2 linked regions of the Nothobranchius furzeri genome follow. The protein of the gene in region 2 purifies or fractionates together with the protein of the main gene of each other region. This does not show direct contact. Links are inferred from orthologs where the notes say so. Each region holds a gene or a part of one and is shown on either strand. Other genes may lie near its edges.

Region 1 (3,335 bases), on a different chromosome or scaffold from region 2:
TGAGATGACATCGCTAAACTCCAGCTCATGTCCAAGCTACTTGTTAGGCCTATCGGGAACTATACTAGATTAGTTTGCCGCCTATTTGTCCAAGTATTTCATCTCTTTGGCAAGTTTTGGTTCTTCCCCACCTCCCTTGCTCATGGGGTTCCACAAGGTTATGTGCTGGAGTCAATACTGTTCCTCCTTTATCTGCTACCCCTTCAGCACTCTGAGGTCCTTTTAAGGAATCTCCTACCATCCTCATGTAAATGACACCCAACTGCACATCCTCTTTAAACCCCATGAGATGTCCAAGCTGCAGCTGTCACACATCTGCTCACTCCATTAAAATCTGGATGGCTGGTAACTTTCTACAGCTGAATGAAGACTGAGATCCTAATCTGTGCCCCAGACAAGCTGGTTCTCAGAGACTGTCAGCTTGTTTCTCACACCAAACCCTGTCTGGAATCCTGGTGACCTTTGACCCAGCTCTTACTTTGGACTACCATGTCAGTTCTCTAGATCGCTCTTCCTTCTTTCACCTCAGGGACATTGCTAAACTTAGCCCTAATCTGAATTTGTTATCCACAGATTCATTCAAAAACCCTTTGTTGCATTTTGACAAATTTTAATAAAACAGGACAAAACTTGTTTAAGACACAAAAACAGAACAGAGGAGTACTTGTGTTAGAATGTTTATTTAAAGTTATTCCCACTGCGCACCCCCTCCCTGTGTGAAAGCCTAATCTGAAAGGAGGAGGATACAGGCCACTATAACGCCACATCAGCACATTTGTTGACAAGGCTACTGGTTTTGACTCAACACCTTCCTCATGCACTGGTTTGACACTCTGTGCTGCGCTGTAGCAACACACCAGCATGATGAGGCCTGTTCAGAATCAATCCCAGGAGGAAGAAGGTCCACTAAGATAGGGCTGAGAGTTTTGACTCCAACCAATGTTTAAAAATGAAGGCAGTTTTACTAAATTTCCAGTTCCACAAAGAAGAAAATGGCAATTGTGAGGCAGAGAAATAATTTGGATAGCTTCTCTTTTTCCTCAATGTGGCTGCTGATCCACAAGACGTTGATTTGATGATGCCACTAAAAGAAAACCTGAGGCTCGAGACGAACCCAACGTTTGTCACAGTGAGGCCGTCGTCCTTCTCCAGTCAGTGACACCGCTCCTATCCTCTCCTTCCACACAACAACAGATGGACTAAAGGAAGATCAGAGTAGCACCAAATCACACCATTGATACAGACACCAAGTGCAAAGCAACTAATTATAATAGAAAGAAAATGGGCTGTTCCAGTTATTCCAGCATAACACTGGACCAAAACACCAGTGGCCATGTTTGTTACACGTATCAAGTGTTACCTGCGTAGCGGACTACAGATCTCCGAGGGGAATGATTTCTTCGTTGATAAAAAACTCAATGGTCTCCTCCTCCCAGTCGTCCACGTTGCTGTCAAGCTCATCAGTGTCCACTCCTGGAAGACCAAACCATCCAAATGTTAAAATGAAGCACAGAGGTCATCGAGGTCGAGCTTGTAAAAGCAGAGCCCCACCTCCTCTGAGCTCAAGGCGGAGGTTCTTCTGTTCTTGATAGTTCTGCAGCGCCGCCTCCCTGTAGTTACGGTACTCCTCCATCATGGCTCTGCGCTTGTCCACCAGCTCCTACGCTCACAAACACACATTTGTATGACTTCAGCAGTGAAGAAAATTAAGTGTCGGCAGACTCAAGCTTTCAAAGATGAAGGAGATAACATGAATGTACAGATCTGTACTTCAATGAAGAGTAAAATGTCAAAAAGGAGGAACAGGTCAAACCTTTGAAGCCTTGGACTGGCTCAGACGATCCTTCTGCTCAAAGATCTTTGAGTATTTCTTAAGATCCTTTTTGATCATCTGCAAGGGAAAACACAAGTTAATTAGGACTGTTCTAAAACAAGGAGGTTGAAATGTCATGTCAAGTATTTATGAGCCTCAGATCAGAAATAGAATCAGGAGCTGGAGTGCAGCTCTCATACGAGGTGTCAGAAAGTTTTTATCTGTCATCACCGGCTCCAGACACACATTTTACAGGCAAACTGGTACCTTAATCTGATCTATGCTGAGCAGAGTGGGAGGTCTGGGCCTCCAGAGCAGCTGACAGAACCGGTCCTTGTTGTTCTTCTGGAGGAGACGGCCCTGGAAGGTCCATAGCCAGTACGCGTTGTCCACCTAGACAAATGAGTCCAAAAGAAGGGATGAGTTTAAACAGAAGAGAAGAGCGAGTGAGTTTGTGGAAGCAGGACACACCTTGTGGCTCCACCAGGAGACGGAGGTAACGACGTATCGGCCGGTCGGGTCCCATTCTACGTCAGAGGCCATGTAGTGCTCTGCTATGTTCATCAAGGTGCAGTCAGAGGTATCCACGAAGGCTAGAGCGCCGTTCATACTGAACACAGAGGCAAAACAAAGACTTGGTACTGGGGCAGGTGCAAGAGGTGAAAGGTGAAAGAAAAGATACAAGCCTCAGAACAGCATTAGAATCAGGAGCAAAGCTCTCATATGAGGTGTCAGAAAATAAAGTTTATCATCAGCGGCTTTTGAGAGAAAACACACACACACACACACACACACACACACACACCCTACCTTCTGAGTCCAGCCAGCACCATAAACTGTCCCTGGGGGCTCCAGAAAATGCTGTTTGCCTGCTGTTTGTCAAACATTTCTGTAAAAATAATAAAAATTACAAGAGGGAGTAAAGACACTAAAAAAACGACTTTCGCTCATCTGCCCAACCAACTGACTTATGAGCTCGATCTTCCCGTTGTTTTTGACGTGATAGAAGGAAGCGTTGATTCTGGGAGACTCTCCGTGGAGAACAGCAAACTTGCTGCCGTTGGGCTCCCAGGCAAATGCGATGATGCTTTCTAAGAAGACAGGACACGAACGGATCGCATTAGATTACTTCTATAAAATAAAACGGTCAAAAATAGATGCAAAAATGCTTCTTTTTTTTGCTCTCACCCTTCATCTCCACGACATCTACAGGAACCTGCTTCTCTCTCATTCGGAAGATTTCAAAGTTGGTGACAACACCCTGGAACCGAACAGAGATGGGCCTTTTATCGTAAATCCAATAAGATATAAAGACAGTCTATCTCTGGCTGCATACCTGAGTTCCTTTGGGAGTCCTGTCCACTTTCACACACAGATAATCTCCATTTCGCTGCCAGTGCAGTTTGCAGTCAACTACATTGAAGAGATTACGAACTCTGATCTCTTGACGAGACGGCATCTGCATCAGGGTGACTCTAGCTGGGATGTCTTTGTCCTCTGGTACCCAGAACGCTATGATGTT
Region 2 (4,457 bases):
TTTCTTCTAGGAGATAAAAACAATGCCTCACATGCACCTGGAGCTTCAAAGCCTGCAGAACTCGTATTCAGGACTTGAAATACACCAGGCGCTTGACAACAGTTGTTAATCAGATAATGAAAGTCTTAGATTTACACAAGCACTCTTGCAGAGAAGCAGCAATAATTTTTTGCCATGGCAGCCTACAAGGGTGGGGAGAAAGTGGAGGTGGGATTTGGTACCAGGCGCTTGCCTTCCCAACAGAATGACGCATCTAGTGATCTCTGTGGTGAAACACTCCATCAGCCATTTCCCCTCAGCACATTATTTTGGGCAGTTTGTGCCTTGATGAATGTAACAGAGTCAAGTTCCCTTTTTGTGTAAATGCTAACATAAATACACGACAAGCAGACTTTCGGAGGAATTACGACACGGCGTGATGTGCCTCTATAGCCAATGAATCCTCAAAGTACACATATTTCCTGACAAGATGAGCTGTGAGCGGTGATGCAAGGAAATGAAAAACAGGATCTTCACCACGGGACAAAAGCCTGCTCGCCACCCAAACATCTGTAACCCGACCCCACAGTCTAGGGATGACCTCTTGCTCCACTTGCCCTGCTCACCTCAATCAGCGAGTGATCTGCCATTGTAACAATACGCAGGGTCCCATTTGGTACAGAGGCCCTACACGTGCACACATAGGTCAATGGGTGTCTGGTGGAGGAGAGCTGCCCTCTGACATCTCTGGCTTGGAAAGCTCTGGGTCAGTCCTTCTGCGGTGGTCCACAAAGACAGACTGGGGTTTAATCAGATAACTTCTTCAGGGAATCACCTCAGTAACTCAAATCCAAAACATCCACAGTTAATCTTCCAGAGGAGAGATTGACATTCAAATAAAAGTCTGGACTTAGTTGAGGGAAGCCTATGTGACTAATGAAGATTATGATAACTGGTGTGGAAAAACTAAATAACTAAAACATTCTAACTCTTGCTCACAGTACTCATAGTTGTCAAGAGTGAATTCATTTAACATATAAAATAAAGAAACAAATGACAGGCTGGTCCTCACGTGTTGCTGTCTGCATGATTTCTGTTTTTCTGCACCAGCACACCTGGTTGGAATCAAACTTCTGAAGAAATTGATGATATGCTGAAGAGGTTATTCAATACTTAAATAAAGTGCGTTAGAGCAGGAGAATATATAAAAAGTGCAGGACAGTGTCACTCCAGAACTGGGATTCAAGTTAACTGCATGAGTCTCGCATGTAATACATGGACATTTGCACTTCCAGATAAACGGAATGATCAAGGATTTAAACTGAAGACACAATTCACCAACAACTGTGTTTTTAAAGCATAAATATGATCAAAAATGTAAAAGAGTACTAAGAAAAAATTCTATGTGGTAATTATGTTTTTATTTAGCAATTACCTAATAAAATATTGGTTATTTGTGATAAATAGAAGTAGAGTGATATAAAGTGGCGCTAGGGAATTCAAAAAAAGAATCAACAATTTTTTATTTTTCATTTTATTATTATTATTATTATTTTTACTTTACGCGATCCCAGATACATTTTAAATTACTGTCTCTTTAAGAGAATGACCCGGAAGTGTACAGACGTGACCGGCATTGTAGCGCTTTCCTTTCCGGTTACGTCTCAGCTTTGGTAGGAGCGTGGATTTCATCTTCTAGGCTCAAAATTCACCAAAACATGAGCGTTCCGGCATTCATTGATATAACCGAAGAAGACCAGGTCAGATATAGATGTTTTAAATAAATATTTCATCACCGTTCCTCCAAAACTAGTTAGAAACTGAAAGCTTTTCCAGATAATTTAGCGCTTTAGCTTGCTGTATGCTAACATGTTTAGCTGCTGACAGGCACCTTTTGAATATGTACGTGAGTAAATATAAAAAACGAAATGTTAACTTTTACATGTAATTTATTTAAGCAAGCTGCTGTGAGTGATTTTTATCTGAAATAATTTGCGGTCCATGATGTTTATAAAGTTAGTTATAACGCTTTAGCAATGACTGCTAATATTGTAGCCATATAACTATAAACAAATGGGTACAATAAAGAATAAGAATTAAAAGGCAGCAAGTTAGGCATTCTCATAGTTTTTAAATGACTGATTCATAATTATACAAACTAAGCTTTCATAGTGCACAAGAAAATGTAGGACAGTATCTTTATTTTATGCTAAAACAAATACAAAATCCACTGTTAACTATATATAGGATAGTGTTAATGGGTGAGCATTGCTCCTGGACACTGTGTGTGATTATGGTATAATTCAGCCCTAATTAACTCAAAGGAAAATACGTTTTTGTTGCAGGCTTCAGAGCTGAGGGCCTATATCAAGGCCAAAGGAGCTGATATTTCAGAGGAGAACTCTGAAGGTGGACTTCACGTTGATCTTGCTCAGATCATCGAGGCGTGTGACGTCTGCCTCAAAGATGATGATAAAGGTTGGTGATGAAAATTAAGACATGAACAGACTTTTTTTTAATGGTGCAGTTGATTAAGTATGTGTCAGTGTTTAATTTGAAATCTATAAACTGGCTCGTGTCAGTTTTGAAATAAATAAAAATACAGAAATAACACATGGATTTGCCAAATGTATCACTAATTACACCCCTGCAACACAAATAGGTGATATTACACCGAGTGAATTGTTTTTATCTCCTGATTTTCATTCACCCGTTCGTTCCCCCGCAGATGTTGAGAGCGCAATGAACAGCATCGTGTCTTTGCTGTTGATACTGGAGACAGAGAAACAGGAGGCTCTCATCGAGAGTCTGTGTGAGAAACTGGTAAAGTTCCGTGAAGGAGAAAGGCCCTCCCTCAGGTTGCAGCTGTAAGTTCTGCCCCTCATTTGAGTGTTTCAACAAAAGTTACCATTAAAAGATCAGATTGTTTGATGCTGTGGTTTTAAAGGCTGAGCAACCTGTTCCACGGCATGGACGAGAACACTCCAGTGAGGTACACCGTCTTCTGCAGCCTCATCAAAGTGGCCGCCGCCTGTAATGCCATTTCCTTCATACCCACTGACCTGGATCAGGTAAATCTATGAGATGCATTTGTTTTTAGCTAAAAGAAGACTGCGTTGATATCTGCAGAGGTGATATTTGGCTTTGTCTCTACTTAGGTGCGTAAGTGGATCATTGACTGGAGCCTGAACACCGAGAAGAAGCACACACTTTTGAGGCTGGTCTATGAAGCACTGGTTGACTGCAAAAAGAGGTAAAACCAAAGATCAGACATGCATACTTTAAAAAGTAGGAAGGACATGTAGGAAGCTGTTGTATGTTTTCTGTGGGTTTTTGTGTGAATAAAAACATTGGATCATTGTCATGCATACTCATTGGTATTAGTGTGCTTCATTAGAAGACTTTTCAGACGTTTTACTTCTTTAACAGCGAACCTGCAGCAAAAGTCATGGTCGAGTTGTTGGGAAGTTACACAGAAGACAACGCTTCACAAGCACGTGTTGATGCTCACAGGTAAACTCAGAACCATTTTCATTTGTTTTTAAAACCGTGCCTCTCCTTACAAACAAGCATCTCCGCTCTTGTAGGTGCATCGTCCGTGCTCTCAAAGACCCCAACACCTTCCTGTTTGACCACCTGCTCACCCTGAAACCGGTTCGCTTTTTGGAAGGAGAACTCATCCACGACGTAGGTGTTGCAGGATGTTTTATATATGTATTTATAAAGTTTTTTATTAATAAAGTATATCGGAAATATTTGCCTTTTGGGGCTGCACAGTGGTTAGTGGTTAGCGCTGTTGCCTTGCAGCAAGAAGGTCTTGGGTTCAAATCCTGCCCTGGGGTCCTTTTGCATGGAGTTTGCATGTTCTCCCTGTGCATGCGTGGGTTCCCCTCGGGTACTCTGACTTCCTCCCACAGTCCAAAAACATGACTGTCAGGTTGATTGGCTATTCTAAAAAAATAGTCCTTAAGTGTGTGTGTGTGTGCACGCGCGCGGTTGTGTGTCCTGTGTGTCACTGTGTTGCCTTGCGATGGAGTGGCAATCCTTCCACGATGTACCCCACCTGCTTGCCCAAAGACTGTGGAAGTAGGCACCAGCCGCCCATGACCCTGTGTGGAAAAGCATGTAAAGAAAATGAATGGATATTTGCCTTTTAGTGTCTTTCATAGCCTTGAAATTGGAAAAATAAAAAAAAAGTCAGTCATGTTTATTAACTATCACCAGGACTTCCTGAACGAGTGGAATCAAAGAAACTAGTGTTTACTTTAGCTGTAATGTTAACCAGAGTTTTGACAAGTTTTACTGTAGATCAGGATTCTGCAACTCGCTGTCCTGGAGCCACAGGTCACTATGACTCAACTTTGGCTAGAAATGAGAATAAAGTAACTGTAACGTAGAAATATATTTAAAAGTAGGTGTAATAGATTTTCATGGAATAATTCCATTGAATATTAGTTCAATTTAGTTTTATTTATATA

The links.
Region 1: the proteins of eif3m (region 2) and eif3ba purify together in Homo sapiens (affinity purification with mass spectrometry; 8 studies listed by BioGRID and IntAct, counting the BioPlex papers as one, with this or other methods). This does not show direct contact. The link is inferred for Nothobranchius furzeri from reciprocal best matches to the Homo sapiens genes EIF3M and EIF3B.

The regions. Positions count from the first base shown.
Region 1 is NC_091744.1:16,233,272-16,236,606, forward strand, and holds the end of eif3ba (eukaryotic translation initiation factor 3 subunit B), read right to left. Parts: coding exon 3,150-3,335; intron 3,075-3,149; coding exon 3,002-3,074; intron 2,905-3,001; coding exon 2,782-2,904; intron 2,703-2,781; coding exon 2,624-2,702; intron 2,574-2,623; exon of another isoform or gene 2,496-2,573; intron 2,424-2,495; coding exon 2,285-2,423; intron 2,207-2,284; coding exon 2,081-2,206; intron 2,050-2,080; exon of another isoform or gene 1,965-2,049; intron 1,892-1,964; coding exon 1,814-1,891; intron 1,661-1,813; coding exon 1,552-1,660; intron 1,474-1,551; coding exon 1,373-1,473; 3' UTR 1,361-1,372; intron 1,200-1,360; 3' UTR 662-1,199; downstream 1-661.
Region 2 is NC_091749.1:32,399,038-32,403,494, forward strand, and holds the start of eif3m (eukaryotic translation initiation factor 3 subunit M), read left to right. Parts: upstream 1-1,584; 5' UTR 1,585-1,697; coding exon 1,698-1,739; intron 1,740-2,324; coding exon 2,325-2,457; intron 2,458-2,707; coding exon 2,708-2,846; intron 2,847-2,926; coding exon 2,927-3,050; intron 3,051-3,137; coding exon 3,138-3,232; intron 3,233-3,408; coding exon 3,409-3,492; intron 3,493-3,566; coding exon 3,567-3,666; intron 3,667-4,457. UniProt on the Homo sapiens protein: Component of the eukaryotic translation initiation factor 3 (eIF-3) complex, which is required for several steps in the initiation of protein synthesis.